Schizosaccharomyces pombe: one gene and its partners. The protein of the gene in region 2 interacts with the protein of the main gene of each other region in a pairwise test. Each region holds a gene or a part of one and is shown on either strand. Other genes may lie near its edges. The genes, in order: dlc1, ssm4 and mug5.

The links.
Region 1: the proteins of ssm4 (region 2) and dlc1 interact in binary tests that used the Schizosaccharomyces pombe proteins (3 or more experiments, as listed by UniProt).
Region 3: the proteins of ssm4 (region 2) and mug5 interact in a two-hybrid assay, tested with the Schizosaccharomyces pombe proteins (one study listed by BioGRID).

Annotation. Positions count from the first base shown.
Region 1 is NC_003424.3:2,782,689-2,792,708, reverse strand, and holds dlc1 (dynein light chain Dlc1), read right to left. Parts: upstream 4,688-10,020; 5' UTR 4,640-4,687; coding exon 4,631-4,639; intron 4,582-4,630; coding exon 4,471-4,581; intron 4,411-4,470; coding exon 4,195-4,410; 3' UTR 3,991-4,194; downstream 1-3,990. Other genes in the region: SPOM_SPAC1805.10 (uncharacterized protein), read right to left, coding at 1-1,466; methionyl-tRNA formyltransferase Fmt1, read left to right, coding at 1,488-2,510; protein Pop6, read right to left, coding at 3,332-3,619; DASH complex subunit Dad2, read left to right, coding at 6,561-6,696, 7,025-7,173; porphobilinogen synthase Hem2, read left to right, coding at 7,779-8,768; serine/threonine protein kinase (CK1 family) Cki3, read right to left, coding at 9,775-10,020. UniProt on the Schizosaccharomyces pombe protein: Acts as a non-catalytic accessory component of a dynein complex.
Region 2 is NC_003424.3:4,528,273-4,538,736, forward strand, and holds ssm4 (dynactin microtubule-binding subunit, p150-Glued Ssm4), read right to left. Parts: upstream 8,465-10,464; 5' UTR 8,415-8,464; coding exon 6,402-8,414; downstream 1-6,401. Other genes in the region: SPOM_SPAC27D7.11C (But2 family protein ), read right to left, coding at 1,190-2,581; thioredoxin family protein But1, read right to left, coding at 5,245-5,976; RNA polymerase II-associated Paf1 complex subunit Tpr1, read right to left, coding at 8,863-10,464. UniProt on the Schizosaccharomyces pombe protein: Binds to nuclear microtubules with the effect of either modifying their structure or function. This then promotes meiotic nuclear division.
Region 3 is NC_003424.3:5,237,814-5,248,222, reverse strand, and holds mug5 (protein mug5), read right to left. Parts: upstream 5,171-10,409; coding exon 4,613-5,170; 3' UTR 4,109-4,612; downstream 1-4,108. Other genes in the region: vtc2 (polyphosphate synthetase), read right to left, coding at 1-92, 300-467; SPOM_SPAC14C4.10C (Nudix family hydrolase), read left to right, coding at 1,133-1,550, 1,613-2,184; cell wall glucan endo-1,3-alpha-glucosidase Agn1, read right to left, coding at 2,742-4,016; SPOM_SPAC14C4.07 (transporter), read right to left, coding at 5,497-7,431; poly(A)-binding protein Nab2, read left to right, coding at 8,406-8,987, 9,031-9,129, 9,176-9,418; LEM domain-containing protein Man1, read left to right, coding at 9,905-10,409. UniProt on the Schizosaccharomyces pombe protein: Required for correct meiotic chromosome segregation.

The DNA of each region.
Region 1 (10,020 bases), 1.7 Mb from region 2:
TGCGTAACAGGGACCTTTCGACTGTGAATAGCATTAAAATCTCCTTGCGATCCCTGTTTAGTAAAGCGGCGTGTTGGCGTGTATGTCTGGCTTTGATCTGCCACAGTATCCACGTAGATCCTGGAATTATACTCTTTTTGCTGAAGCGATATCCAGTACCCTCGAGTAATTTTTTGGAGCTGGCAAGAATTGAAACTTTGATTATTGCAAAGGTTCTCAAGATGGTTCCATAAATGGTGGGCATCATTCAAAGGAAAATCAGTATTAACTACGGCAAGGCCAGTTGTACAATTGGCTACAATGTACCAAAACATGTCTAACTCAGTTTCAACTCGTTTTTGTATTTTAAAGTTGAACCCCGTACTTGCCTGGCTGTCAAACACAGATTGGGATAATGGAGCAAGCCCAATAATATAATTGGTAAATGCATTGCTAACTTCCTCTGAAGATGTTTGGCCAAGTTTCCACAGTATGGCTAGTAGCCTTTTATTGCTTTTCTTTTTGAGACAAAAAATCCTCAAGGTCATTTCGCCGACCTCGTTCGTTATTGCAAGATTGCTGTCTGTGTCGGAAAACAAGGTCGTTAATGGTCTATGCGCAATGTTGATATCTGCGCTTTCATTTTCTATTAAATGCTGATAATTGTGAGAACAATAGTAAGAAAGAAGATTACGAAATTCTGGTTTTAAGCGAAGACCTTGTAGGGAAAGCAACCTTGGCTGGCCCGATTTAGTGAATAGTATAAGCGATCCCATGGTTCCGTCTTCTTTTCGTATAACATCATTCATTTTCTTTACTAAAGGGTCATCCAGCGAATGGAGAACAGGTAGCACACTCAGGGATTTCAATAGATACCCACCACATTCCAAAGGTGATAGGACCGAAGTCCACCAGCGGTCGATAATCTCAAAGCTAGATTTTTTTTCAATTTCGTCGAATAAATATGAACCGTGAAATATATTAAATTGTTCCCACAAAGCAGCAACCGTAGTAACCAGCACACTTGTTTTTGGACACGGCTTCATGACAGATAGAAATATTGATGGGGTTAATGAAAGAGTGTTTTTTTCGTCATTATTCATTAAAACATTGCAAGAGTGTAGCTCGCGACATCCTTCAGGTCGCTTGATAAGAACCTTTTGAACAGTTGCAGTATCAACTTGTAGACAATCATAACTCTCAAGCAAAGAAAAGGGTGAGTTTTTAGGTGCAGAGGAAGTAGTGGATTTAGAATCGGTCGGCTGTTCTTTTAAGATATCTTTAGTTTCAACAGAAAACCCGTACATCCCATGAAATAAAGCAATTTGATTTTTGAGAGCTTCTAATTCAGGATTGTTAGCAGCCATTTCATCTTTATTAAGGATTGGTTGTTTATTTCCCATCAACTCGGACTGGTACATCCATAACATTTCAATCACTCCATCGGGCGTACATCGGTGAATGCAGAAGTGTTCCACTAGCACCATTCTGCAACAAAATTTATAAGGATGGCTCCTAAAATCCCATTGAACGTTATTTTTTTAGGTACAGATGAATTTTCAATTCCAATTCTACGCAAATTAATAGGTTGTGTTCAACGTGTGCGCGTGGTTAGTGCAGGAGGAAAGAGACAATCGAGAAGAGGTGAAATACCCCTCCCACCTGCAGCAATGGAGGCAAATGCGAACGGTTTGGAATACATAAAACTACAAGATGGATGGAAAAACTTCCATATGAGACCTGATGATCAGCTTGCAATTACGGCTAGCTTTGGAAGGTTTGTGCCTTTTAAAATTTTGAATCAACTGCCATATGGGGGGATAAATATACATCCATCCTTACTTCCAAAATATCGTGGAGCAGGCCCTGTTTATTCTACTATATTAAATGGTGACCGTCTGGCCGGTGTGACAATCCAAACAATGGATTCAAAGCAGTTCGATAAGGGGAAATCATTAGCTCAAGCGTACCTTAAATTAAATGGGAAAGAAACATATACACTATTGACAAAGATTTTGAGTTTAGGAGCTGCCGGCATGTTAGAACATGTCCTTTTACAATCACTCTATTTACCAAATTGCCAAACAAATACCGTAGCTCCTCAAATACATGGGCGGATTACAGATACAGGAGGCCTACAACTAATTTCAAAAGAAACATTTCCATCATTTCAAGAAAGTTGGGCTAAAAAAATTACACCTGAAGATGCTCATGTTAATTTTGAAAGCATGAACACGCAACAAATATACAACATGAGCAGAGCTTTTAATCACGTATGGTGCATTTTAAATAACAAAAAAGTTTTTTTGTACGACGTTCATCCGTTGCACTCAACATCAGCAGAAGATTGGATTCACATGAAGCCAGGAGAGTTTGCCCTCTTGGAGAAAAATCTTCTGTTGGTGAAGACATTAGACCATGTAATGGTTATAAAAGGAGGAATTCGACTATCTGCTAGAAAAATAGTTGATCCTGTCGAATGGGGGAAAACATTTAATAGTGGACGAGGGGGTCGATTCCAATATGTGTAAATGATTTAAACGGTAAATAATAAAAAATTGATAACTTAATGCTTTAATTTAAATATTAATTTCCTTTTTTATTCGATTGGCTAACGTCAATATCCTTTAAAGCGCTAATGTAAATTCTAATACATACTCAAAATAGTCTTGCGTCAGCTTGAAAATAATGTTGGTATCATCTCTAAAACGGAGAAATCCATAAGAGTGCTTTTAATAATAAGATTAGCGCTATTGTATGGGGCCTTTAGATTCTTAAAGGTGTGTCTCTCCATTAAAAACTCCGTAGCCATACAAGTTTGATCCTCACTTTCACCAATTGAATCTCATTCCAATTTCTAGAGCGGTTCATATCATACAGTGTAAGCTAGAACCAGCGATCTAAAAAAAAGAGGATAAGAGTGAATTGATGAAATCAATTGAAGATCCAAAACTTTATTGTTCGCAGCGTTGGAGCGACCAAAAAGCGAACTTTCACAATTTGAACCATTCCATGTGCGAAAAAAACAGCATTATGAATTAATTTCGTTCCACTCAACCCTTTTACCATAGCATCATTCGCAAAGACGTGAATGGAAAAAATAATATTAGACGTCTACAAATTGGCAAAAGGACATTGCAGGTCATCAATTATTGAAGAAGGTAAATCGAGTTTTCATCGATTAATGTACTATCATTTATAACAAAAAACTCACAAAGTAACAGTAATATAACTCGTAAACTGGTAAATTGTCAATCGATTGGTTCAGGGAATTAGCGTCTATAAAGTATGAATACAAATGAAAGAAGAATATTTTTGGTAACTTTGAAAAGAGTAAAAATTTGCGTATTATTTAGCTGTCATGCTCCAAAATCTGTAGGTCGATCTTCAACTGAGGAAGTGATCTCCGATTTCCGTGTATCAAAGTGTCAGAAGACTGCTCCTCGCTAGGAATTAATTCAATCGTTTGATTAAAGGGAATTTTCTGCTCGTTACAACGACGTTTTAATAGTTCAACTAGACTTACTAGTTTTACAGTAGCATCTCCTTCAGCCACAAAAGAAACTTGTTTTTCTTTGACAAAAGAATCCCACAACTTTAAAGAAAGTTGCTTAGCATTTATACTTTTCTCTATTATCATAGTTTATAAGCAAAAGCCTGCATGGCGTTTAGTAGGCTAATAACGTGGTAGTTAGACAGGTGCTCCCAAACATTAATTAATAAATTACATAGTTGAAACAACATTTTACTGCCTTGTAAAAAGATGTATGATTTTAATCTTAAAGCAAAGGTATATGATATAACAAATTTAAAATCTTTTTCGCTATTTTTATTGTAAGTACCTCAGTTTCTTGCTAGTCTTAGAGAGTTCAAGCAAAGTAAAGCTCGATCAAGCTAATACTGACACGATTCAACGTCCTTTGTAACCTTTGGAAAAAGGACGAACACGAATCGTATACACACCAAAATGCTTATAAAATACGAACATGTTACAGAGCGCTCACAAATGTCTGAATTTTAAGAAACGTAACTATCGTAGATTGCATATAATAGGAATAAGTAGAAAAGAAGAGTAGATAGTAAAGTTAGTAAATTGCAAAGTTAAAGGCAATTTGCATCTAAGGCAAAAACTGGTACCAGGGGATAAAAAGAGGGAATGAAACAAAGAGGTCTTTGAAGATGATCATGATTGGAACAGTTTCGATAATATGGTAATTAAATGGAGATCCACATAATGCTCAATACTACGTCAATAGCCTCACCGCTCTCTTTGATAGTAGTCATTCCATCCTTTTCACAATTCCAGCAAGCAGCGTGAGCTGCGTGAACGCCTCTAGAAGGATGATCTTCGGGAAGCTTTTGTACAAGAGTGGAACTAACAATCCATTTGTAAGACTGGGTTTCCTTATTCAAAGCATTTAATACGGCATACTAAATGAGACATAAAGTTAGCTACCATACATAGATATTTGTAAAATAAAATGAACTTACAATAACAGATTGATTCATTTCAGCTGTTTTGTCTCCGTCATATTCGGAAGCCTTCAAAACCGGCTGAGCAGCTTCTAGGCAAATTTCTTCAAGTTTTTTGGAATCTATAGGCTATTTTCATAATCAAATTAGTAAACGAATCGCGTATTTGACGACTTACACAGCTCATTTCGAAATGGGGTATTTTGATGAGTACAAGGAGGGTACGCAGTGAGATAAAGACACCCACAGCTAGTACGACGTTTAACGGTGACAACCCCATCGATACAAAGTTCAACGCGAACATAACTCACGTTAACATTTCTTTTTATTGTTGATTTCTTTTTGCTTTAAACCTGAAGTTAAGTAAGGATTTTTCGCTTACAGCGAATCGTCAACTTCACGTTGGGATGAATGAGATAATTCAAATAAAGCATCAAGTATTGCTTTAAAGGAAAACAGCGTTTATTTCTATTTCTTACATTCTTTAATTAATACCAATTTGAAAACAGTTGATGGTTGAAACATCGATAATTGATTTCGAAAGAAATGCATAATGATTTTGGAAACCATGTCTTCCTCTAACCGTAATAATTGTATCGAAAAAACTCATAATTACACATAATTACTGGTGTTTGGATTACCAAAAGACATTAATGTGTGCTTTACGCTTTTAACAATACTCTTAGCAAGTCCAGTTTCAGTAATGAATTGAGTGTGTTTCTTTGAAGACGGGCCGAAGGAAAAAACAACAATTTAAATTCTCTGAACTTAAAGTGTATAGAATCTGTTTTTAGTTATCGAAATGTTAATTCAGCATGAAGGGAAAGCGATTGTTTTGCTGTTCATAGAATCCAAGTATCAATGTAGCGAAATCATCCAAATCTTTAACTATTTGATCATTGAATAAAACTACAAGATAATTTATGTTTAGTATTCCTACCATTAGTTCTTTCAATAATTTTACAAAAATGGAGAAGATCTCATCGGTACTGCGATACATAAAGATGCTACTACCCAAAGATTTTAAATCAATGATCCTTTCAATCCCCTAACCCTTTTATCCTTTTCCTTTTTTTTCTTTCCTATAGATTATTTACTGACTTTTATTTACAGGGACATTCTGTGATATAACGGTATTATAACTTGTTTAATTGTTATATAAATGTAAACGTTATTGCCGAAAACCATGTATAAAGTGCGTTATTCTAAAACTGTATATAGAATATAATAACATACTGCGCGAAATTTAATTGTGAGATCGAACAATTCAGTAACTGAGTATTTGGAGTAATAGTGAATTTTTGCGAAGGAAAATACTCGATTACCATGTAAACAAGGGTTTGATGTATGTTAAAAAGTTGTTAATTAGAAATGGATAATAGCCACTCTATTATAATTTGTTCTAAAAAAGTTGGGTATTCTTTAACGACCCGTTGGAACCGATCATTGAAGAAACTTCAATAGTGGATGAGACATTTTATGAATTTTTAAATTAGTCAAATACGGTTCAAATTTTAGAAAACATACGTGGAAGTTGCATCCTGTCTAGAATAAAAAATTCATTTCCTTATGTATCGGAACGTTGACAATCTTGTTGACCAAAAGAATATACTATCGAACCCAAATCTTAAAAGTCTTTTAAGCCCATTATACCTTGTGTAAAAAAAAATAAAAATAAAAATAAAAGAAGAAATAGTAGAGAATATGCACAGTTTTGATCCTCTTTAAAACTTTAGAGGGATGAAGCAATGCATACTTACTTAGTAAAATATGGATATAATAAGCTAGCTAAACTTGACCCATTATTTGAGTAATTATATTCACTATTCAACATAGTTTCCTAAATTCATTATTACTTTAAATTAATGAACTAACTAATTTATTAAAGATGAAAACAAATGGTTAAAATTGAGTAAAATCAATCATTATATTTTTTGTTAGTCTCTATTATCAACCTCTTTATTAGTAATACATTCCGAGATATAAAATTCCAGAAACGGAAATTATTTGTTTTAAACGTATAATTACAAAACCGAAATCGCCTTATATGGTGTAGGAGATAAATCTAGTAAATTTCGTACCTTCTTCTACAAACATTTGGCGTGAACATGCTTCAAGCAAGGATTGAGGAAAAGCAAAAGGAATACGAACTAATATGCAAACTAAGAGATTCTTCTAATGATATGGTTCAACAAATAGAAACGCTTGCTGCTAAATTGGAAACTTTAACAGATGGAAGTGAAGGTATGTTCATTACGAGGAAAGTATATAAAAGAGCCTTGTCACCAATCTGTTTAAGTGCTATTCATGTGAACAAGTATAAATATCATTACATTGAGAAAAGCAAAGAAACAAGTGAATTGATTGGATCTGCAGGATTGCAAATAAAAGCAATCATTTGCCGACATGTCTCTAAATGAACTTCTACCTCTCAATAATTCACCTAAACGTAAAAAATATAATCTGTTTATTTATTTATTTTTTCTATTTTCACTACTACTCATACATGCTTGACGACTCTTTTTAATCCATTATAATAAATGTTTGACACTCAAATCACTAACAAAATCAGCTGTTGCTACTGTTCTCAATAATTGGCCCAGCATTTTTGAGTCAATACAGATAGCATCCCAACATTCAGGAGCTTTAGTCCGAATTCCTCCTTCTACTTCAAATACCAACGCATCTGCTACGGAGCAAGGCGATGTTGAAGAGGTATAAAGACTTAAATACTCTTTTTAATTTCTCACTGAAGTAGAAAAGGCCAAGAATTGGTTAAAATAAATATTATTGTTCTGTCCATTTATTCATATTGTTTCTTCTATTTCAGAATTGGTAAAGCCGACAGCAAACCCAAGTTCCAAGTATCTTCACTTCCTAATGAAATGGAGAATGAGATCACCTTGTAAACTAAATGATATCTAAATTTTTCATTTGGTCATTTTCTTTTGGCGTTCGTCCTGTTTCGCTTGTTTGAATACTCCCAGCATTCCCTTACGACAATTAATTTCTTCAAGGACAAACAATTTATTCAGGAGTGATACTATTGTTATGTAATCAACAAATATCGTGGTCCGATGCCCGATTTTTTAAAAAAAAGTTAAACTTATTTATCTTAACCTTCGCCAACCTCTCGCCATCTGCCACTTACCTTTTTAAAAATATTTCTTAGGAAATCTTGTTGATCTTCCGCTAGAACTTTTTTAAATAACCAATAAAAGGCGCTTTTGCTGGTCCATTAGTTCCATTTGTCACAAATCTGCTTTTTTTACGCAGTTTTACATCTTTAGGAAAAATCAAATAAATTTTGTCAGTTAGTATTTAATATGCCTGTTGATATCAGTTCTCTTTTGCATGCTGGGTATTCAAACCCGTTGCTTCGTGAATGGCAAGGTGTACGTCCCATTACCAAGTCATCTCTAATGTATCCTATCTTCATTTCCGAAATAGATGATGCTAAGGAAGCCATTGATAGCATGCCTAATCAATTTAGATGGGGTGTTAATAGATTGGAAGAGTTTTTGGGTCCTCTCGTCAAAAAAGGTCTTCGTAGTGTAATTCTGTTTGGTGTCATCGAGTCCAAAAAGGACTATTGTGGTAGCATGGCCGATTCCGAAAATGGACCAGTTATTAAAGCCGTTAAAGAAATTCGTCACCTTTTTCCGGAGCTGGTTGTTGCTTGTGATGTTTGTCTCTGCGAGTATACTGATCACGGCCACTGTGGTCTGTTATATGAAGATGGCACTATCAATAATGCTAAATCCGTTGAGAGAATTGCTGAAGTTAGTGGAAATTATGCCTTGGCAGGCGCTCAAATAATTTCTCCTAGTGACTGCATGGACGGTCGTGTTAAGGCGATTAAGCAGAAACTTGTAGAGTTGGAACTGTCTCATAAAGTATGCGTTATTTCCTATTCTGCAAAGTTCGCTTCTGGTTTTTTTGGTCCTTTCAGAGCTGCTGCTAATGGTGCCCCAAAATTTGGTGATCGCAGCTGTTATCAACTTCCCTGTAATGCACGTGGCTTGGCCAAAAGAGCAATTCTTCGCGATGTTAGAGAGGGTGCTGATGGTATTATGGTAAAACCGGGAACACCTTATCTCGATATTTTGGCAATGGCTTCTAAGCTAGCAGATGACCTTCCTATTGCTACTTATCAAGTTTCAGGCGAATTCGCCATTATTCATGCTGCTGCTGCCGCTGGCGTATTTGAATTAAAAAGACATGTGATGGAAACCATGGATGGCTTTATGCGTGCTGGCGCTAACATAGTTTTGACTTACTTTACTCCTGAATTATTGGAATGGCTAGAATATTAAACAAAAAATAATGCGAAATCAATCATCTTCAAAATTATCATGATTGAAAAATTATTTTGTTTATATTCTTTAATGGTCTAGAGTTTCACTTATGAAATTGTTTTTCGAATCTGCGATTACCGGTTCTTGTTTATTAAAAATTTTCGTTTATAATCTGTAGCAGTTATTTACGAAAGAAATTGTTTTTCTTTCTTTTAAAATACTTTAAATTCGTGTGTAGAACAAGATTTTATCTTAGACAACCGTAGGTTGCCAAATTATCGTGATATCCTATTGACTCCTTTTGCAAGCGATGAACGGACATGTTAAAAATTTAATATTTAATTTATATAATTTGATAGATTTGTCTCAATACTTCATGGCAGTTAGAATAAAGTAAAGTACATTATCCACGTTTACTGACTATAACTTTCTAGCATGATAAGATAAATTAAATATTCACTATACTTCACCCAAAGTAATTGGAGCATGTTCTTCTCAAACATCTTTTACCTTATGAGTCAACATTTGGTAGCTCAGTGAAGCTTCTGACTATTTATGTATATATCGATATAACTTACAATGAAAAAGTATGACAGCTGCAAATGATTCAAAAGTAAAATGCAACGACAAGGAACATGCTTCTACGCTCTTCAATTGCATATGATGCATAATGCATTGGAGTAATAATATGAATCTATGTATATAAGGTAGGACAACAATTAGTACTAATTAGAATCAAAATCTTCATCCTCAACACGTTCAAAAATTTCAAAATCAAAAAGAATGCCAACAAACACAGAATCTCATCTAGTGAGCATTTTTTTTTTGAACAACAGTAAGCAATGTAATTTAAGCAGCCGGGATTAACGTCACATTACGATTCCGGAAGAATTAATTTAAAGAAGGAATCGTATGGACGTATTATGTTGCAAATTGTAAGCGGATATTTAATAATGGGAAAAAAATAAAAAAAGTATCGACATAACAGTGAAAGACAAGAAGGAAAGACGTTGAATAATCATGACTATTCTTGTTTCGATATGCAGCAAGACAGTAAGCGAAGATGGAACTTCTTTCGTGATTTCTCTTTCGAGGGCGCAGGCTTAGCAGCTTGTTGAGTGTCTACCTGTGTAGGCTGGGTAGTCTGAGGAGCAGGTTGCTCCACCCGTTGCGGTTGCTGCTGTTGAGCGGAAGAAGTTTGCTGTTGTTGTTGAACTTGGGGAGAAGCCGCTTTCCCTGGTATACCATCTTTCTGCGTCGCAACACTGGC
Region 2 (10,464 bases):
ACTACTCTATGTTATCCCATATTGCGGTCAATTTACTGAGCTGCGTTATGTGTTCCTATATGGCTTCTTGCAACTTGATGTAGGGGTATGCGGTATGTTTAAATAACAGTGTTATATTCATTGTTTTAATGAGTCTACTAGAAGCAGTCACAGATATAGCTAGCTAGTAAGTGAAACTGAGGAACGAGATTCAGTTGTAGCTCTATTTATAATCTTTCTAATAGCAGCTATGAATGTGAAATTTATGTGGATAGATGAATAAATAGCTACAATTATTAATAAACGGATCTTAACTAATGTTCTAATATATAACTAACTGTAGTTCAATGTGTCGTTAAATAAATACTAAACTGCGTAGCTAACAACTACGTACTACTAATGACATATGGTAAATATTAATTAGATCCCCGAACCGGTAATTGCAGATTATCAAAATTCTATGTGCATTGAAAAATCGTTAACAAAATTACTAGGTAAGTTGTAAATAGAACTGAGAACTATGACTAAATTTGAAGTATGAAGCTCAGTTATAAGTTATTTTAGTGATAGGTAACAATTTAACTTATATATTAGAATACATATAGCAAGCTACTCCCTCATTTATTTGCTTATTGTAATATTATGAATCGGCAAAGAAAACTCTTACTGCATTTCTCAAATCCTTAAAAAAGGCAGCAAACGGTAGGTTAGAGATGAGTTTTTTTTGAAATTTACTCATGTATAGCAAGCGATATGTAAAATGTACGAGTAACAGATACTATCATTATTGTTACATTATGTCTCTACTTATAACTGCCTCATGCCGGAACTGACATACAAGAAAAGTTTGAGCTCTACTTACAGTAGTTCTGTCTAATATCTAATTAAACGGGTATTTTAGTAATAGAAACAGGTCTTCCGTTATTATCGATAAGCGGATCTCAACTAGTATTTTAACATATAAAATTAGTGATTTGCAACACAGCGTAAAGTTGCTGACATATTAGAGTTGTAGCATTTCTAATTTTAAGGCATTATATCAATCATAAAACAAGCATCGCTAAAGTCTCGCCTACAATACAACCTGTCTATCAAATACTAGACTCTGCTATGCCGGAAACAAGCACAAGAAAAAAATGGAGAGACAAGGGTTTAAAGATTTAATATTAATTAAGTAAACTAAACAATGCAAGCTGGAGTTCATAATACTTTAAACTCGTAAAGTTAATCCCTCAAGAGGATCGGCTTCTTCAAAGAAACTCAAATAAGAGTCATCAGTGAGAGCCATCATTTCATAAGAGACCGCAGTATAAGAGTCGGGGCATGTAACATTGGTAGCATAATCGCAACCAGAGCTAGAGCAGTTGAAACGTCCAATTTCGGCAATGCGGTTGGGACGGTTGGAGTAGACAGTAGAATCGTTGGCAACGGAGGAGAGGTTGAAGAGAATGAATCGGCCAGTGCCATTAACACCTTCAACAGTGATGGGGAAACCGCTAGTATCGAGATGGAAGTTAAGTTCGCAACTACCGGAAACTTGAGGAACATCAAATGTGAAAATCGTGTTGGTATGATTGTTTTGCTTCTGAAAGACGACGGGTGAGTAAACATTACCGGAGTTAGCTTCAGGCTTAGTCGAATCAATTAAACGAATGCCATGGGGGAACAAAGGATATACAGCAGCAGAAGGTGATGGAGTTGCAGCTTCACTTTGGCTAGCGGCAGTGGTGATAACAGGGACAACAATACACTTGGTGGTATAAGCAACGACGCTAGAAGCAGAAGGACTGGGTCCAACATATGTGGTAGTTTTAGTAGTAGTGGCAGTGTTTTTACGTTGGGTAGAAGTAACGGTAGAGGGCTGAGTGGATGTAACAGTGGAAGCTCCGGTGGAAGTGATAGTGGAGCCTCCGTTCGTGGCTGTTACTGTGTAGGTTTCAGTAGCCGTAACGGTGACAGCTGTGGTGGTCGTAACAGTGGTGGCTTCGGTAGATGTAACGGTAGAGGCCTTAGTGGAAGTGATAGTAGGAGGTGGAGTAGAGGTAGAATTATGATAGGAAGAGGTAGTACTATTATAAGTGGAAGATGAAGAGATGGGTTGAGGCAAAACAGCCAAAACAGCAATACCTACACAACTAGGGTTACCGTTTCCAACTCCAAAGAATACCTGATAAACCTGGTTATTGACGAGAGAAGGACAAGCAACGGCGGATTCAGTTCCATTATATTTTAAGCTATATCCGGAACTAATAGCCTCACCGACACTGAATCCAGAAGAAGTAGAATTAGTATCAGATTTGAAAACTATTTCACCATTGGCGCTCACGGAAGCATAGCGATTACCAACAGATAGTTGTCCATTAGACATAGTAAAGGTGGCAGCGTCATCAGTGCCATCAGCGGGGTCCAAGTAAACAGAACCAGAATCTCCAACATAAAATCCGTGCAAATGGACGTATTCATTGCCGGAGTGAAGAGCCAAAAGACCAAATTGTCTGCCGTTCAAAGGGTCATCGCGTCTACGCAATGGGGAAGCTGTCACACTGGAGGCAACGAGCAAAGAGAGTAATGTGGAAGCAATGGGAATCGAAGAAAACTTCATGGTGCGTGTAATAAAAATCCAAGATTTTCAATGAATAGATGCCAATTAATTAACTGTTTTTTATAAACCAAAAAGTCCTCGCAAAGATATGGAGGTTTTGTTAATATAATAATAATAATTATAATGAGAGATTAAAGGGAATTGATGAAGACTTATTTACTTTGTTTAGTAAGGCTTCGAAGATTATTACAAATGAATGCAATTAGATTTGTTGGCGATATTAAAAGGATTTTCATCTCTTTATATATCAAAAATTTTCCAAACTTAAGTTCGACAATATCAAGAATTTACTTCGGTAAAACGTAACTCATGATCCGCAGTCATGAAAACTTTTGTCATGTGTAGGGAAAAGCGCAGAAACAAAAATTGCATGTAGAATCATACACGGTAATTAAAATGAGGAGTAGTAATATATTTTTAAGGCGAGGTGAATGATTTACATAATAAATGGTCAGCGCATACAAGAAAGTCCGACTGTTGGCGATGCAGAGGTAATATTGGTCGCACTTCCACCATACAGACAGTACCCACGTTCCGTTTACATTTTAAAGGCGGTTTTTTAACGTGATCACTTTAAACGCTTATTAGAGGCTAGCGAACCGCACAAGATGTCATACAAGTACTTTTGCGTAAGCTTCATCGACATGTGAATAACTTTGAAAGCTAGCGCAATGTTTTCACAGTAGTGTGGGAAAACAGATTTGAACAGAGGGAAATTGAGAAATTTAACAACTAGGATTTTTTCCCGTACAACTTTTTCCTTAGCTTCTTAATTATCTAATGGATTAGTACGATGTTTCGTAAGGTAAATTGCATATACCGATGATTTAATCACCTTTCGGTCATCATAGTCGGAGTATTCGGAAAAATTCCTTCATTCCGTGTACGCTTGACACCGGCCGCAAAGACTCCGCACAAGACTCCGAAAACTCCGGATATCTGCTGCGCACCGGCATGTGATCATCGGTGTTATTGGGTGGGGTTGATGATGCATTTTCACCTTCAAATTAGAAAATCCTGATTTTCAATAATGAAATGCATCAACGCACGATAGATATGAATAAAGACTTTGTAGGGATTCTTTATTGTTAATACGGTAATCCAAGGTGAATGACTGTGTAAATTTAACGAGCTTGAACAAAAAACAAGGAAACTGAATTTGTTTTGAAAGAAATCCAAACAAAGGCTGGTATCATTCGAATCTCCCGTTGGTATTTAACTTAGAAAGCAAATGTTCAAAGAAATTTTTAAAACTAAATTAAAAATAGCTCCTCCTTCAATAATACGGCTTTCTCATGTTTCTCTAAACAGAAAACCCTTTGACCAGCTGTCTCCCGTTTGATTTAAAACGCGTCTCTCGTAGCAAAGGATGATGATTGTGTTTCTTTACTTACAATTGTGTATTTTCTTTCTTTCGTTTTCTTTTTACATGACTATATATAGTAAATTAACAATTGCTGTCTTGGAAGTTGATTCATGCTGTGATTAAGCCAAAATCGCTAGGTGGCTGTGCTTTATCCAAATACCGATGAAATCTAGTTTAGAGTAGCGAACCCCAAGCTGCTGCGCTGCAGCAGACGCACTACCTCGTTATTAATTGAACTGGTATGCTTCACTATTCCGTATATGTTCTGTTATGCTCGGTTGGGATGAAAAAACGAGGGCGTGAAAAAGCGCGCTTATAGCATTGACGTCAGAGCTATTTTATCCTTTACATTGATTTATCTACTAAGCATGGTTATTCTATTAAGCAATTCCTGATATAGTTTGATTTACTGACACTTTTGCAACTAAGATCTCAATTCACTAGCATGAAATTGTTTGAACGATTTCGATAAAAATATTATAAACCAACATCTAGAAGACTAATAGTTTCAATATTTTTATGCTTCAAATGTCCAAAATTAATTTTGGTAGGTTTACACAAGAATAAACCAACTGTAATTATATCATATAATTATATTTCTTAAATATATATAATTATAAAGATTAGTTTACAACGATCTCCTTTAGTATAGGGGTAGTACACAAGCCTGTCACGCTTGCAGCCCGGGTTCGAATCCCGGAGGGAGAGAATATTTGATTATTTTTAATTTTTGCATTTTTTTTATTACTCAAATTTTGATTACTTTTGTTTGAACAAAATAATACTATAGAAGCCTGCACTGTCATTTTTATTTGAATAGAGGAATTTAAACTAAAATCTATCAGCTTGGCTTTGTTCTGAAAAAGTAAATGCTTCAAAAAGAATATGCCAAATTATTTATTGACTGATTGAAATTGATATCGGTGATGTTTATAATTTGATAATCAGAGTTGACTTTTTTATTTATTTAATTTATTGGTTCATTGATTTTTTTTGTTAAAGATATCATAGTTTAATAAATTATTCCTTACACTTTTTTTTTTTTTTTTTTTGAAAAATTTAATAAATACCCATCCGTACCTTATCGTAAATTTTTGACAGCATAATTTATGGTACATTGTAATTTATTTTGTGAAATATTAAATATATATATATGTATTTATAGAAAGTATTTTCTATTCCATTGAACCCATGTTTTGTGGTTTTATGTGTGACAATATCATCAACTTTTGCTGAAACGTAAAAAAATTTTTGTTTGTCATTTTTTTTTTGAACGAGTGATCATCATAGAAGGCTTTTAAAGCAACCTTCCATTTTCAATTGCCAAAAATCGAACAGTTTCTTGAACTGCTGTTATTAAAGTAGATACACAAGTGGTAGTACGAATGGGAAGGATGTCGCGTCGACGCCCTATGGAATCTATAATTACAATTGCATCCAAAGCTAATTTTGCTCCTCCAAGAGGATGCAGCATTCCCATCTCTCTACAAATTTCATTGTTAGAATCCGAAATAACTGGTAATGAAAATTGTAGAGCACGAGGCAGATGGGCTTTCCATTGACATATATTTTCAACCGTATCAGTAGTGATACCAATCACATCTGTGTTGTAGGATTGCAGACATGGATAAAAGTGACTAATGACAGATATGTGAAGTGGGACGTTGTCAACATAACCATAATCACCGCTGACATTACCAAAGAAACAGAGAACAAATGAAGAGAATAGTATAGGTAATTTATGAATTTCATTTATTCCACCGATACCATTTACAACGTAAACGGGTTTGGAAAGATTAATGAAACATGGTTCAAATACTACTTCCATATCTTCTTCCCTAATGACACGTGCATGGTTCATTCCGTTCCTAAACGAACTCTTTATATGGGGATGCATACCACGCGTTTCTTCATCTTTCGTAGAGCTTCTTCTTTTTTTTGTAGATTTAACTCTTAAAGTACAATTTTTCTCGTGAACAGCATCACGAGTCGAAATGGGAAACTGGAAAAGGTTTTGGTCGATTTCCATTTTCTAACCCTTTCTCTGCAAGAAGGTGAAGAAACGCTTGATACGCTTTAATAGAAAAAAGGTAACAAAAAAAAATAATATCGCTACCGTGCAATGTGAAACAAGCAGTTTCCCACTCTTAAAGTGGTTGGTTTAGGGTAAGTAAACTTGTTTATTTACATGATTCTCACGTCGACAATTAATCTTCAAAGTCGATCTAATTGGCCAAAAGTACGTTAGTTTAATACAAACATGAACCAATCAAATACTCAACCCCATATTTCGTTAATGCATAACAGGTCACAAAAGAGGTTACAAGTCGATCTTAAACTTAAAGCAACACCATACAGTACATTAATGATAAATTCGTTAAAATATGGCAGTTAAGATTAGAAGCTAATTTTCGGCGGCTATTAATAAATTGAATTATATATCTCATTAAAAGATTAGCATTTTTTGGAAAGAATGTCTGTTAACTGACAATAATTAAATAGCTGTTGATTGTGATGAAAACTGGGTCGCTCGATATCTTTTTTCCAATTCAAGGCCAGCTGCTTTTCTACTGAAACGGGTTTAATATCTGCAACTAATTTTCTTATCTCCTTGCAGGCAAAGGTCAATGGGCTTGGAATTGAGTTTTCAGTATTAGAATCCCGTAAACTGTGTTTGAGCCAGTCTATATTTTCACTAGTATTGTCACCTTGTGGATATTTATCGGCCAGTTTCATCCTTGCGGTCTTTAGCTGTTCTCTTAAATTACAAAGATTTTTCTCATACTGTGTCTTTAATGTTTCAAATTCTTTCAATGTTCTAGAAGTGATTTCAGAGTTAACTTCATTCTCGTATGATTCAATTTGTTCTTTTAAACGTTGGTTCATTTCTGTAAGGTCGTCTTTCATACTACTTTCCTCCTCCACTTGTTTTGATAGTTTCAATTTTGCACTGTTTAACTCGTCTATTACAATATTTGCTTTCTCAAGTTTTGCATTTAATTGCAATAATTCCTCTTGAGAGTCTGATAAGCATAGTTTCAAATGTTTAACTTCTGTCAAAGCAGGTTGAGAAGATATTAGTAACTGAGATAGCCTTTGAGTTTCCTCTTGCACCTCATTTAACTTTTCCGATTGTCTTGCTTCTATTTCAGTGTTTAGCTGATTCAAAGTTTCCAAGTCTTGAATTTCTTCTGTTAGTTTTAATACTTTATGAGACAACAAAGCATTTTCCTCCAACAGTTGCCTTCTTGTCTTCACACCATCCACTGAAGAGTTGTTGGACTTTAAGTTTAATAATTCTTGATAAACTGTGCTATTCCAATGTACAAAATTTTCATTTGTTAATGAAAATTGTAAATCCAAACTTCCCGGTACAATATTTAAGTATCTATTCACGTTAGATATTGTCAATTTCTCAGAAAACGGGTTTTTAGGAATTTTTACAAGCTCAGTTATGTCGACCTGAACCTGTTTTAATTGCAAAACCTTAGAAACCTCTGAGACCCCAAGGAGACTAGATGGTGTAACTTGTGTAGTCCAGTTGTCCTGGCTTTTAGGAGTTTTGGAATTCAAACTTCGATCAGAGTACTTATAATTAGGAATCTTTCGAATTTGCAACTTTCGCTTTCTTAGATACTTTATTTCTTTCTGCATAGCCAAGAATTTTTTGAGAAACTTTTCACGCCTAAAATTCCGAGGTTTTTCAATACTGTTTTTACTGCGAAGGAATGTCAACTGAGGTTCAACTTTCTCTAATTCCTTATTTAATTTATCAATTTTTTCTTTTAAGGCGGTATTTTCACACATCAATTCATCCAAACGACCCTTCCTTAATTCTGACTTTAAATTCTCTTTTAAATAACTTCCCTTTGAATGAGGAGTAAATTTTTTTTCACATTCCTGCAAAACGTTGTCAACTTGCCATACAAATTCCTCTTCCATAAAACTACTATCGTCAAGCCCAGACAATTTGCTCGTATCTGAGTTTAACAAAGTAGTGTCAAAACTTGATAATTCTTCTGTTGAAAAATTTAGCTCATCTAGATTTTCAGTTGTAGATGAAGTATAAAACGTAGCTGTCTTTGTGGGAGTAGACGAATCAATAGGTGTAATGCACAATGGGCGTGCCAATGATCTTTCAAATTTTGAGGGCTCCCTACGTGATTTTTGTTTAATTGCTTTAGTTTTTTCCATAAAATTTGATATGTTTTCTGATCCTTTTTTCCTTGACTTGACGACACTTGGTCTTTTCATCACATTCGAAGAGCATGCGCGTACAAATATCCCTTTTCCTTTCTCACATGAAAAATATCGTTTCCCTTTTACGCTTCCATCATTTTTTCCTTTTCCATTTAACAATTCTACGCCTAACCAAATACCACTTTCAAAATCAGTACTACCGGCAAATCGAACTATTCCTAATTCTCCACGGATGAGGACTTCATCCCCGACGGACAAATAACTCATTTGAAAAAAAAGAAAGGCTCAGAAAGTACTTGATAAAATGGTTAGAAACTGTGAGATTAGTGTGGGGAGGGGGGAACAATGTTTGCAATACAGGCGCGCTAAAATCATCACTATGTTGCACAGTTGAGCATGTTAATCACCAATGTTCAAATCACTTTTAACACGCATGTTAATGTTATTTAAGTAGAATGAAACGATTCTTGGGTGAATAAACCTATTAGTTCTTTTTGAAAGGGTGGATAGAAAAAAACAAATCTAGTCTAAAAAGCGTAAATGAATGACAAGAGCTTTTGTATACAAAAAATTAATTTAAATGATATTATTACACGAGATCATAAATCATATATATGACAGACAACAAATAACTGAAGGGAGAAAGTTAATATGCCATTGAAATAAGAAAATTCTTATCTGAACGGCATAATTCAAACAGCAATGAGCATAATTATTATTCTTCATCCTCTTCAGAGAATAGATTTAACTCTTTATTGTCATCTTGATTGTCTGTGATATCGTTATCCTGCTTTTCTTCGATAGTACGAGAAACCTCCTCTTCTTGATTTCCCTCCGCGTCACTATCCTGGTCAAAAGTATACTCTTCGGATATGACTCTTCTATTAACACGACGTTTTTTAGTTTTATTTCTGGCATCGCTCAATGGTATTTCATCATCTTCGCTTACTCCGCTATCCGAGGATTCCTGTTTCGATTTAGATTTACGCTTTTTTCGATCTTTCTTTTTCTTCTTGCCTGACTGTTTTTCTTCGTCATCAGACAAGCTCATATCATCTTCAGAAGCCTTCTGCTGACTCTTTCTCCACTCCAAAACTTCTTCTTGCATCTTTTGTCGCTCTTCCTGAAGTTGCCTCTCACGTTCTTGCTTTTCCTTAAGTAAAGCTTCTTCCTCTGCCAATCTTCGAGCCTTCTCCTTTTCCCTTTGAATCCTAGCATCTTCAAGTTTGGCAGCAACACTCTTCTCATATTCGATTTGCGCTTGAATAGCGCGCTCCAATTGACGCTTAGTAGTATTTTTAGCCATCTTTGCACGTTGTTCAATACTGGTAGGAGAATAGGGTGGATGTTCGACAGACACCAGTTTGGTAAAAGTTTCAATCGATGCGTCAAGCTGTTGCATTGCAAAGTTCAGATCCTCAACAGTTCTACTGTTCTCGGGTTTCTGACGGATGAGCTCACATAGCTGGAATTGTACAAAGGCAACGTTAAATAAAAGGCTTGGATTCTCGGGATTTTTTTCTAAAGCTAATGTAGCATATCGCACGGATTCTTTTAAATAGTCGACGTTTTTGCTTTCGCGACCACGCTGTAGCCAAACTCGGCCTAAACAGCTCAATACACCATAAGTATCACTTTCTCCGGTACTAGAATACACGGTTTCAAATACCTCAATAGCACGACTGAACTGTTTGAGTTCTGCAAGGCAATTGCCAATGTTTATGAGTGTTGTAGCATCCTTAATTGCTTCACGAACCTTACTCAAAATAAGTAGAGCTTTAGAAAATTGCCTGTTTTGTGCTAATATAATGGCAATACCCTGGGCAGCGTGTGCGTTTTTTGGATCAAATTTAATAGCTTGATCATAAGACTGAATAGCTTTGATGTAAAGTTTTTGCCTTTTTAACTTTTCACGATCATTATGTACACGAAACTCTCTTGCCTGTCTCATATAGGCATTACCGAGTTGAACTAGGGAGTAAATGTCATCGTGCCAATGTCTAAGGGTCTGAGAGCAGTGTCTAACTTCAGGATCTTCTACTGGGCGACGCTTTTGTTTACTCAAATACCAACCAAAAAATGCTCGAACCTCTAAATTTTGAGAATCTGCGTTCATGATATGACGAATTTCTTTAAACGTTTCCTCGTTAGGATTGGATAACTGAAGTAAACATTTGCGAATACGGGCATCAATAAAAGATGGATGTTTTTCGAGAATCGAAACATACGCTTCACTAGCTACAGAAGTGTTACCCAATTCTTCTTCACAACGTGCAAGATTGTAATCCAAGAGCAAGCTTAATTCAGGATTGGCATC
Region 3 (10,409 bases), 710 kb from region 2:
CCATCAGGTTCCTGAGAAGCAGAAACTTTAGATTTTACCCAATCCACTGATTCATTTAATTCTTTCAAAATTTCGAGATGAAATGCATAAACCTACAGAAAATGTTAGCAAACGTTAAGCGTGATAAGCTTATTTTTCTTAAAATACAAGGATTTATACCAAGCATGGAATTTTAGATAACAGCATTCTACAGGAGCAACAAAATAAAATGTGTGATAATTTCAGGCTACTTATTAATTTAAGCTCCTAATTACAATCCTTGTAATACAAAATTTAAGACATATTCGCTTGCTACTTACCTTTTCCAGTTGGGCATCCATAACAGAAACAAACTTAGACTCATCATTCTCACCCCATGAGGGTGCTTCCTCTTCAGTTTTAAGCAAATGTTTTAACTCTGGATAATTCATATATTTATCTCTCCATGGTTCATAAATTCCAGCTTCTATACTGTCACTGAAACGCATTGCTTTCTTGATCCAAAAAAAAAGATGTGGTGTTGTAGTAAAGTATTTTCTCGCAGCGCCCTTTAAATTTTTAATTAGAGCAGCGAAGTGATCTCGTTAAAACGATTTTTGTTATTCCATTACGTATTACTATAATAACGATATGATAAACATCGCTAAGCAATGTCCACATATTCGTATTTCTTATTTTGTCAACAATATGAAAGATGTTATTGCAACTCAATTAAAACTTTACAATTATCTATCTGTTCTTACTCAATTGACAAATAATTTTAGTAAACAAGTGGAAAGAAAACGAAGTGACCACTCCATTATTGAGTGTTGTACATAAGCCTTCCGTTTTAATATACTATGAAATAGCTTTACATTCCTTTCAAACAAAAGTTTTTTTTTGAATAGATACAAGCCGATTCTAACTTCAGTGACGAATTTGCATCATCTAGAATTGGATGCTGGGTGCTTCATCTGTACTTCCGACTACATTGTTGTAAACTTCCGTTGAGGTAATCCTTACAATAGATTTTATTATCCAAATTTCTATTTATCCATTTTTTACTTTTTTTTCTTTCTTTAATTATTAGGAGCTGAAGCAACAGCACTAATAAGATTTACTCCTTTATAAGTGGAATACAAAATAATTCTTTTGGAAATTGAGCTTACAATATATGGAGTTGGAATTGGACTTATTAACCGGTCTACAATTACTTTCTGAATATTGTCCGAGAGTAACACCAAATGCTCCTCCAAGAAGGGCTTCGGTAGCTGTTATAATAGCTTTTAAAGAATCCCAAGATTTTTCTAACCCAAAATGGCCTCAATGTATTCCCATTACTTCTGTTCCTTATGTACTTCTCATTCAACGCTCATTTCGAGACACCGATCGATGGTCTGGTCATATGGCCTTGCCAGGAGGCACACGCTCTTTGACTGATAAATCAGACATTCAAACTGCACACCGTGAAACATTAGAGGAAGTTGGTATTGATTTACGAAAAGAGCATGCACATTTTGTTGGTGCTTTGGATGAACGTGTAATCACTTCTAATTGGGGTCAATTTCCGTTACTTCTTTTATCTTCCTTTGGTATGTATTATATTTATTTAACAAACGGTTTTTTTTAGGTTTCTAACTTTATACTTCCACAGTATTTATTCTTCCCTATATGCCGTCGTTGAGACTTCAAGAATCAGAAGTATTTTCTGCTCAATGGTACCCATTGGCAGATCTACTCTTGCCTGAATGCCAGACTAGGATCCAAATAGATTCTTCACGAGCACTTAAAAAGACTTATCCTAGGTTTATAAAGACTCTCTTTCATTTGGCTGTTGGAAACTTGATGTATTCTGCTATACGTTTAGAATTTGATCCGAGCTCAGCTACCTACTCGCTTCCTCCCTATCAGCGCCCTTTTCTTCGGGGTATCACACATAGTATATTTGTGGACTTATTCATTTTTCTCTCCCCTTCATCGGCAAGGCATTGTTTGTGTTGGTCACTACCGTACTTTCAGCATTATGATTTGCGCTTTATAGCATCTTTTTTTACTCAGTTTTATAGGCTTCGCTTGCATCAAGTATATCCACGGGGGAATTGGGTATTCACATGTCTTAATGGTTATTATCCCTATTTAAAACTGACTTTACTTGTTGGCTTTCTATTTCGTCTATTCCTGGTTTATCTTCTATTTCTAATCATTTCAGCCTACTACAAATCTTAACTTAAAGTCTTTTAAGTTTATGTGATTTGTCCTCTTTATTTATATGACATTTTCTAAACCAACAATTTTTGCTTACATTATGAGCAGTTATTAAAATACATCCTTTTAAAGTGTACGTGAAATTTATATGCAAATATATAACAATCACAATCTATTAACATTATAAGTGCTGTAAAATATTAGGTAACTGCCAGCAGACCATAGAACGTAAAAAATTTCAGTAACTTGGGAGTAAAGTAAAACGAGAGACCCTGTCCAGCAGAAAAAGTTATGAATATTTTGATGAACATTTTCAATCCGATAATGAATTTTTCAACAGAACCAAATGAATGGTAAAAAGATAAAAGTACCAACAAATATATAGACCGGATGGATTAAAATGAAACAATGAAAATAATTAAAAATGGTTCCCGAAAGTAAAAATAAGGGGTCTATTACAACATTGCTTAACCTTTTTGATAAAGCAATACCGAAGAAATCGAGCAGACCTTCCAGATGCTGTACGTTATATCCTCCCAGACCGATTATAATAAATAACAAAAAGCAAAACTAGAAGTCTAAAAGTACAGAACACCTGTATAGGCATTAAAATTATATATCGACAAGGAATCAACAATTTCGGGTCCCGTTCCAGAGGCTAAGGTACCACCTTGACGAGCAACTGTGAAGGAAGGGGATGCATTCGTTTCCATGGGTATTGTGAATTGGTTCACACCAGGAACACCACTGAATGTTTGTGTTGTAGAGCCACATGTTACGGTGACTTCCGCGGATTGCAACAGATAAACAAGCACAAATATTTCATCTTCCATATAATCACCACCGGAGGGATACGACAAACTATCAGCGGTCGCTGTAGCAGATTTCGGAGTCGGTCTATACCAATAAAATAACGATTCAAAGTTAATGTACGGTTCTGACAAACCAAGCTTGTATGCAGATATATATGGAGACATCAAATACCGCCATGCGGTATGATCAAACCCATCAACATATCCTTCCGAACCAGCCGGCAAGGCGCCTTGAATATTTCCAATATAATGTGATTCACCGTAATCGTTCCAAGTCAAAACCTCAATCATGTCAGGCTGAACAGATAGCATTTCATTCCACCGATCAATAATTAACCAATCGCTTTTATAGGCCCAATTTTTGTAAGAAAGATGAGTGTAAAACCAAGGCGAGACTGGTGCAACATACAACTTGCCTAAAGAATTGGCAAGATTCTGGTAACCAATGTCATCATTGTCGTTCATATCAGCATCCGTTGTGGGCCATGCGTTCCAAGAGAGAAACCCATCTGCAACGCTTTCTTCCAGTGCCCCTTGGCCTAAGGAGGTCCAGCTTGGGACAAAATATATAGGATAACCAGCAGATGCTAAAGGCTCTTTTACAGCAGAATCCCAGCCCGTGCTAACATCAGAATAACCGAATGTATCTGTCTCTCCAGCAAATGTAGAAACAAACACTTTACCATCATAATACAGTTGGTTAGGCTTATCAGCAAATCTTCGAACAACACCTTCAATAAAATCAGCATCTGCTGAAATAATACTCATATCGAAAGAAATAAAAAGCTTGAAGTCTGAGGAAACGCTGGCTGCCGCGTCATATGCGTCTTCAATTCGCTCAACCTGCCACGCGTCTGATCCCATATTGAGAGCGAATCCGTCTATACCGACAGCGATTGCATCCTGGATATCTTCCTCCCAGTTAGAAACAGTGTAAGGATAAGTATTGCCAACAATAAAATGGGCAACAACCATCTTATCAGCGTTAGTCAAATTAATTAACGCTGAAAAAAGAAGAACCAGAAATAGCACAAGCTTCATTTTTTTCCGATATATAAAATACAACAAGGTTTATATATACTTTGAAGAATGATGCTTTAGATGTGCGAATTTCCTTTGTCTTCCAATATCCTTTGTCTGCCGAAAAACAAAGAAATTATAAATGAAAGAGGTATTAGTTATCGCTTCACCAGCGATAAGTCAGTATCAACGGGGTAAAACATGCCTGAAATATTTATATTATATAAGATATTCTTGGTTGAGCGATACAAAGAAAGGATTCATGAATTTCGTGTTAGTGGCTGGCATGGGCTGGAGATTGAACGAAAAAGTGTAGCATGGCTGGCGAACTTTTCATAAGTATAATCAAAGTTGTAAAAATAAAATTAATTGGTTAAAAAAGCTCGCGATTTAATCGCGCCATCCACTTATCACCTTAGTTTTTCACATAACTTTACATTTGTCAAAAGAAAGTAAACCCATAAAGATCGAAAGAACCATTGTCTAACAACATAAATTTAAGAGATGACTGTTATTTTGAACATGTGAGAAGTATTTAAGCACTACTGTTCTTTGATTCCAGATATAAGTTTAACAGTTCAAGACAAGGGGTAGAGGTTAGGTCTGATGAAATTTTTTTAATGACGAAGAACACTAGCCTTCTCTCTCTTGTTTAAAAGTTTCTGGATATTATAAATCCTTTCACATAAATTTAAAATATTTTGGTTATGCCGAAGTGTATCTGCTAAGTAATATGACTCGATAGTGGTTGATATTTTTTTTAACTGTCTTTGATACAAGCTCAGTAGTACAGAACAAGAGGTATTATATTCTTCCAAGCGTTTTAGATCATTTGACAATGAAAAGAAGTTTATATTTGATAGACTTTTCTCGTAATGTTCAATCATACGCAGAGTGCAGCAAAATATCAACATCGTTTGCAACGTACCAGTATCTAAATCTTGGTAACAATCAATTGGTTCCATATTTGATAAATGCCGTTTCATCAGTATAGTTAAAGCATGTATTGACACGTCGTACTCTTTTGGAAGCTTAAAATCACATTCTCTTTTTAAACGAATGTATAAATTGCTGTCAAATTCATTCATTAAATCTTCTAGGATTTTAATTCTGTTTTCAAATCCAGATATGGTGAGCTGCATTTGTTGACTAGACATTCTACTTAGGTAGCACATATAGAGAATTAGGAAGAAGCCACAGGCTTTTATCTCTACTACGCGTAAACGCGTTTTTTTTAAAATTAAAGTATAATAAAGGATTAACAAATTACGCTGAATATCCTAAAGTAGATACACAATTATGAACGCTGATGTTGATATTTAAGCTTCAAAATTTATAAATAATTGTATCGAAAAATATTAGGCGTCTGAACTTAGTCTAGTAAATGAATAAATAGCGGTTCAAACACCACCCGTTATTTCATCCTAAAATCACCCACAAAACTTGTTAGTTCTAAGTAGTAATTTAATGATTTCCATCTCCGATCGAGTCAAAAGAATTTTCAACGTTTGCGATTTAAAGGTCGATAAAGTCTCATAAAGAAGATAATTATAAAGCAGCAACCATAAATGACTGCACTCAAAAAGAATATCATATTAGGATATGACACTTTCATAGACTCAGTATATACAAATGCATATATTGGGCCTCGAATGATCAAAGCAACCGCTTCAAAAACAGCAAACGCAGCTAATACTCGACCATTATATTCGGACTGGACTCCATTAAGAGCAATAGATTGTACGCAAGGAACAACCATATTTGAGATGGCTTGTATAATAACAGCGGTGAAAAGTGCAACATCGGATTTGGCAACTGCTAACAATACCGCTGCACTCAAAGCAATAGCATAGCCTAACTGTGCATTCCAAACGTCTCGTTTAACTATAGTGTATTTCTCGTCAGCCGTTCTACCACGCAATATACTAGAACGTGAATAACCAGGACGAACTAAATAAGAGAAAACATTTCGAATCCCTTGTAGGGAAGAGGTATTGTCTGCACGACTTGGATCTTCAAATAATCCTTCAGAAGAATAAAGCTTTTCGATTATTTTTTCGATAACTTTAGAAAGTAAAGGGAATAGCGCAACTAATGTGATTGAACTAGCAAAAGAGTCGGTGGATAATATTAAGCTAGCCTTCATTGGACCCCAGCCAAATTTATAGTCCGTATAAAGCGGCAATAAGCCCATTGAACCAGCGCCGAGTAAAGTTAAAGATATCAATATTGCTGCAAGTAACACGTCCCAGTGTCTTCTTCCTGCATGGGTATCAGCATTAATATCGTACTGATGGAATTCGCATGATTCCTCTGTACATAAACTTCGAGGCCAAAGAATTATAAGTGGCTCAAGGCATGATCTCCATATCGAGGAAAATCCAGATATTTTATTCTGCTGCTCTTTACTTTCCGAAACATCTAGGCTTTCTGGAAGTATCAACCAAACGTAAAGTAAATAAATAATCCAAAAAGTTGAAGTAATATAAAATACATAATACATATGAGGAGTGTATTGCACAATGAATCCGCTTAAACTAGGTCCCAAAGCGGTTCCTAGATGGTAAGCAGCAAAATTTAATCCTAAATACCATGCACGAAACTCGGTCTTAGAACAATCTGCAACAAAGGAATTTTGGCTGGCTACAACGGTAGAAATATAACCGCCTAAGCCTTTCAAGGCAGCAGCAAAAAGAACAAAATATGGATGCTTGGGGGCATAGGACTGATATAAAAGCCATAAATCACCAAGCAGCAAAAATGAGACGGTAATGAAAAGTACAAGGCGGCGACCATAAATATCCCCCATTGTTCCATAATAAGCGGTGGAAAAAAGACCTAAAAAGGCGGCTAAAGAGCCAAAAGCGGCACGGACTTTTGAAACACCAGTAGTAATTTCCGCTAGTCGGCATATTGGGTCATCTGGGGACAACTGTGTAGGATCAAGGTTATAATGAATGGCACATAGTTCCTGTCGAAGTAAAAAGAGCAGAGGTATTTCAATCATGCCCCAAGAAAAGGCATTAATAAAGTTTAATGGAAGAATCAAAAGTGGAGATAAAGAACGTCTTCTGGCGATTTCACGACAACAGTTATCATTGTTACATATAGATTCATTATTATGATGAGAATTAGATGAATCTGGTTCATTGAAAGAGATGGGTTCATTAGAATTGGAGGTAGAGTCGTAATTTTTAGGCTTCGCCTTAAATGAGTCATGCGAGCTTGACTTTGCAACGTTATTATTGCTTGAACTGGCACCATTGGTTTCATGCTTTAATGAATGAGAATTACCGTTGCATGCAGAACCTTTAGCTTGCAAAGGACAATCAGAACAGTATTCTCTTTCTGGTGAAGGAGTTCTGGATCGAAAGGGCTTGTTCACTGACGGATCGGAAATTAGTAATGGAGTATGATCATCATCGTGTGAAGACATTTGTAGCTCCTTCTCAAAATGGTGGGTACGCTGATAAAATAGAATGTAAATTATAACCCAAATACTCTTCTACTCGAAATGTTCGCAATAATCAATTAACTCGTTGCCCTCAAACTGCAGCATCAATTGTAAAATTCCTTGCACCTATATCCTAAAAATTTTTCTATATGCAATATATACGTTTCACAACGTTTTCGATTTCGAGATAATTAGAAGACTTTAGGTAGTTGGTGCTACTAAGAAGGTTGAGAACCGAAGGAAAATATTTGCTCGAGAAAGTAATTTTGAACTACTAGTTACTATGAAGAAATAACTATATTCCAAAATGACAATGCAATGTAATTGCTTTGTAGTTGGCTAAGCCTTTAGATGTATATATATTAGACGCTTAGATTCTGGACTAGTTTAATTAATGCTGTTACGTTGTGGCGTTATAGTGTCATCGTTAGTCGTTGAATAGTTCTTATAGTGAAATTGGGTATAATATTCGAAAAAAAATTAGCAAACTCGCTATTTTATGCTATTTATTAATTCTTTCTGTTCTTACTGTGAAAGATATTTCTTATATTCCACTTACGTTTGAACTGAGGCTCTTGCTGTATTTTAACTTACGGCTTGCAGTATCAATATAACTATTGCTACTAGAAATTACCTTTAGTCTACGTATTCCATTGAAGCTCTCCGAACGCATCATCTATAGGAAGTTTATTTCTTTTGGAACGGCAAATTTGCCAACTTCTTGTCTGTGAACATATTTTTGTGATTGTATTCTTTCTTCTCAATTCCTTTATTTCATGCTAAGTTGAGCTATTTGATTTCATTTTAGAGCATATACCGGTACATAACTTATTAAATTCTGATTCCATAACAGGAGTGGAATTGATTTACTAATTCTCGGAGTACATTTATTGTAAATTTGAGCATCTCTATTATTTTGGCTTATTTTAGTTAATTATTGACTGTAAACCAACAACATGACTACATTACTGGAAACACCTGGATATAGTGAAAAACTTCATGATTCGATTGAAAAAAAACTTTCTGAATATGGGTGGGGAGAAGAGGCTGCTTCTCTGGCCGATTTTGTTCTTGTGATGCTTAGCAATGGAAAAACACAAACTGAAATTAATGAAGAACTAGTTGATTTAATAGGGTCCGATTTTGATACTAGCTTCTCACTTTGGTTATTTAATCAAATTGAAGAGCTTGAAAAATCAAAAAATGCTTCAGTTGAGTCAGTCAGCAAGATCGACGAAATCGATTTTATCGAGAAGGAGTCAACTGACAAGTCGCAGCAATCTTTCTCTGTGCCGGAAACTAGCATACAACCTCAATCTTCTCAAACTCCTAATATAACTTCGTTACGTGAAGAGAAGGAGCTACCTACTGGGCGTGTCGGACAAAAGCTCAAACTTACATCTCAGAAACAGCGATTCAATCCCATGGCAGCTTCGTTTAACTACTCGAAATCCGTTATGCCTGCTGCCAAGCGTGCTCTCACTCAAACCCAAGAGGTCCCTTTGTGCAAATATGCCGATAAGTGCTCCCGTGCTAACGTATGTATTAATATCAGATAATTTGTTAAAACTAACTCTTTAGTGTATATTTGCTCATCCGACACCAGCCGCAGCCCCAGGAGAAGGTATGGTCCTGAGCAGTGAAATGTGTGCTTCTGGTAAAGAATGCAAAGCTGCTGATGTAAGTACCATAATAATTTAAATCTAACTATTACTAACGTATACAGTGTGTCAAGGGACATCCATCTCCAGCTACGGTTACTACATTACCACCTTTCATGTCCATGTCAACCATTCCAATTCCTTGTAAATATAAACCGTGTTTGAATCCAGCTTGTCGTTTTATCCACCCGACGAAAAGCAGAAATATGACATGGCGGCCACCCTCTAAAACAGAAGAGACGTCCCTGAGTGAACGTTCGTTTGCTGTTAACGAGTCAGAAGAACAACTTCATGTTCCTTCTGTGTAAATTTAGAGAATTATGATACTATTTCGTGTTCGTATAATTGGCACATATCTACTTTTGATAGTCAAGCCAGGATACTTCGTTTAAGAACATACCTTCTAGAGTTTGCAAACTTGATATTTATTTTATTGTATAGATTGCTAAAACGATAAAGTTTTATTTGTCGCTACGTTTGCTGCAATCGGCAATTATCAAGTCGCTAAATTGATTTAAAAAATTTGTTTTCGTTATATTGATGTCTTTTTAGTGAATGAAAATTTTATTTTGATGTGAATTATGCAAATAATGATTTATTTACTTCTTCGGTTAAGTTAATATTATACATATTCAAATACCCACGTTTGTTGACATTCATTACTAAATACATCTTATGTTACTTGTTGGTTACTTGGCTTACACCATGTTGTTGACAACAATCACTTGGTATTTACATTCGCCAGTTTTACGTCTATACACATACCCTTTAGTTAAAAGGTTTTTTTTAATTGAATGGAGGTCCCTTCTTATTTTGACCCCGATTATGATCCTTCGTCTCTTCGAGTAGTAGATTTGCGTAATATATTAACTGAATATCAAATATACTATCCGTCAACGGCGAAGAAAGCGCAGTTAATCACGCTTTTCAGTAAACTACGAAGGGCAAAAAATGGCTTGATCTCTATGACAGAATTGCAGCAAAAGAACGTTCCTCCGTCTTCTCGTAGTCCTCGTAGAAGGGTGGCAGGGGTTACGAATAATGTTACTGCTCGAATTAGCTCTAAGAGAAAAATAAATATGGTTGACGAGGCTAATGATACAGAAATTTCTAAAACTTCACAATTTGAAGATAATGTGATGGGGATGTTACAGGACGAGAACGTTCAAGTTTTGAATACTAACACGATAACCATTTCAGAAGAATCTGAATTTCATGCCTCAAAGATTGCCAAAATAGATTCGCGAAACGAAGAAATAACACATATACCATTTGAGACGCAAACTGAGCTTAATGCGG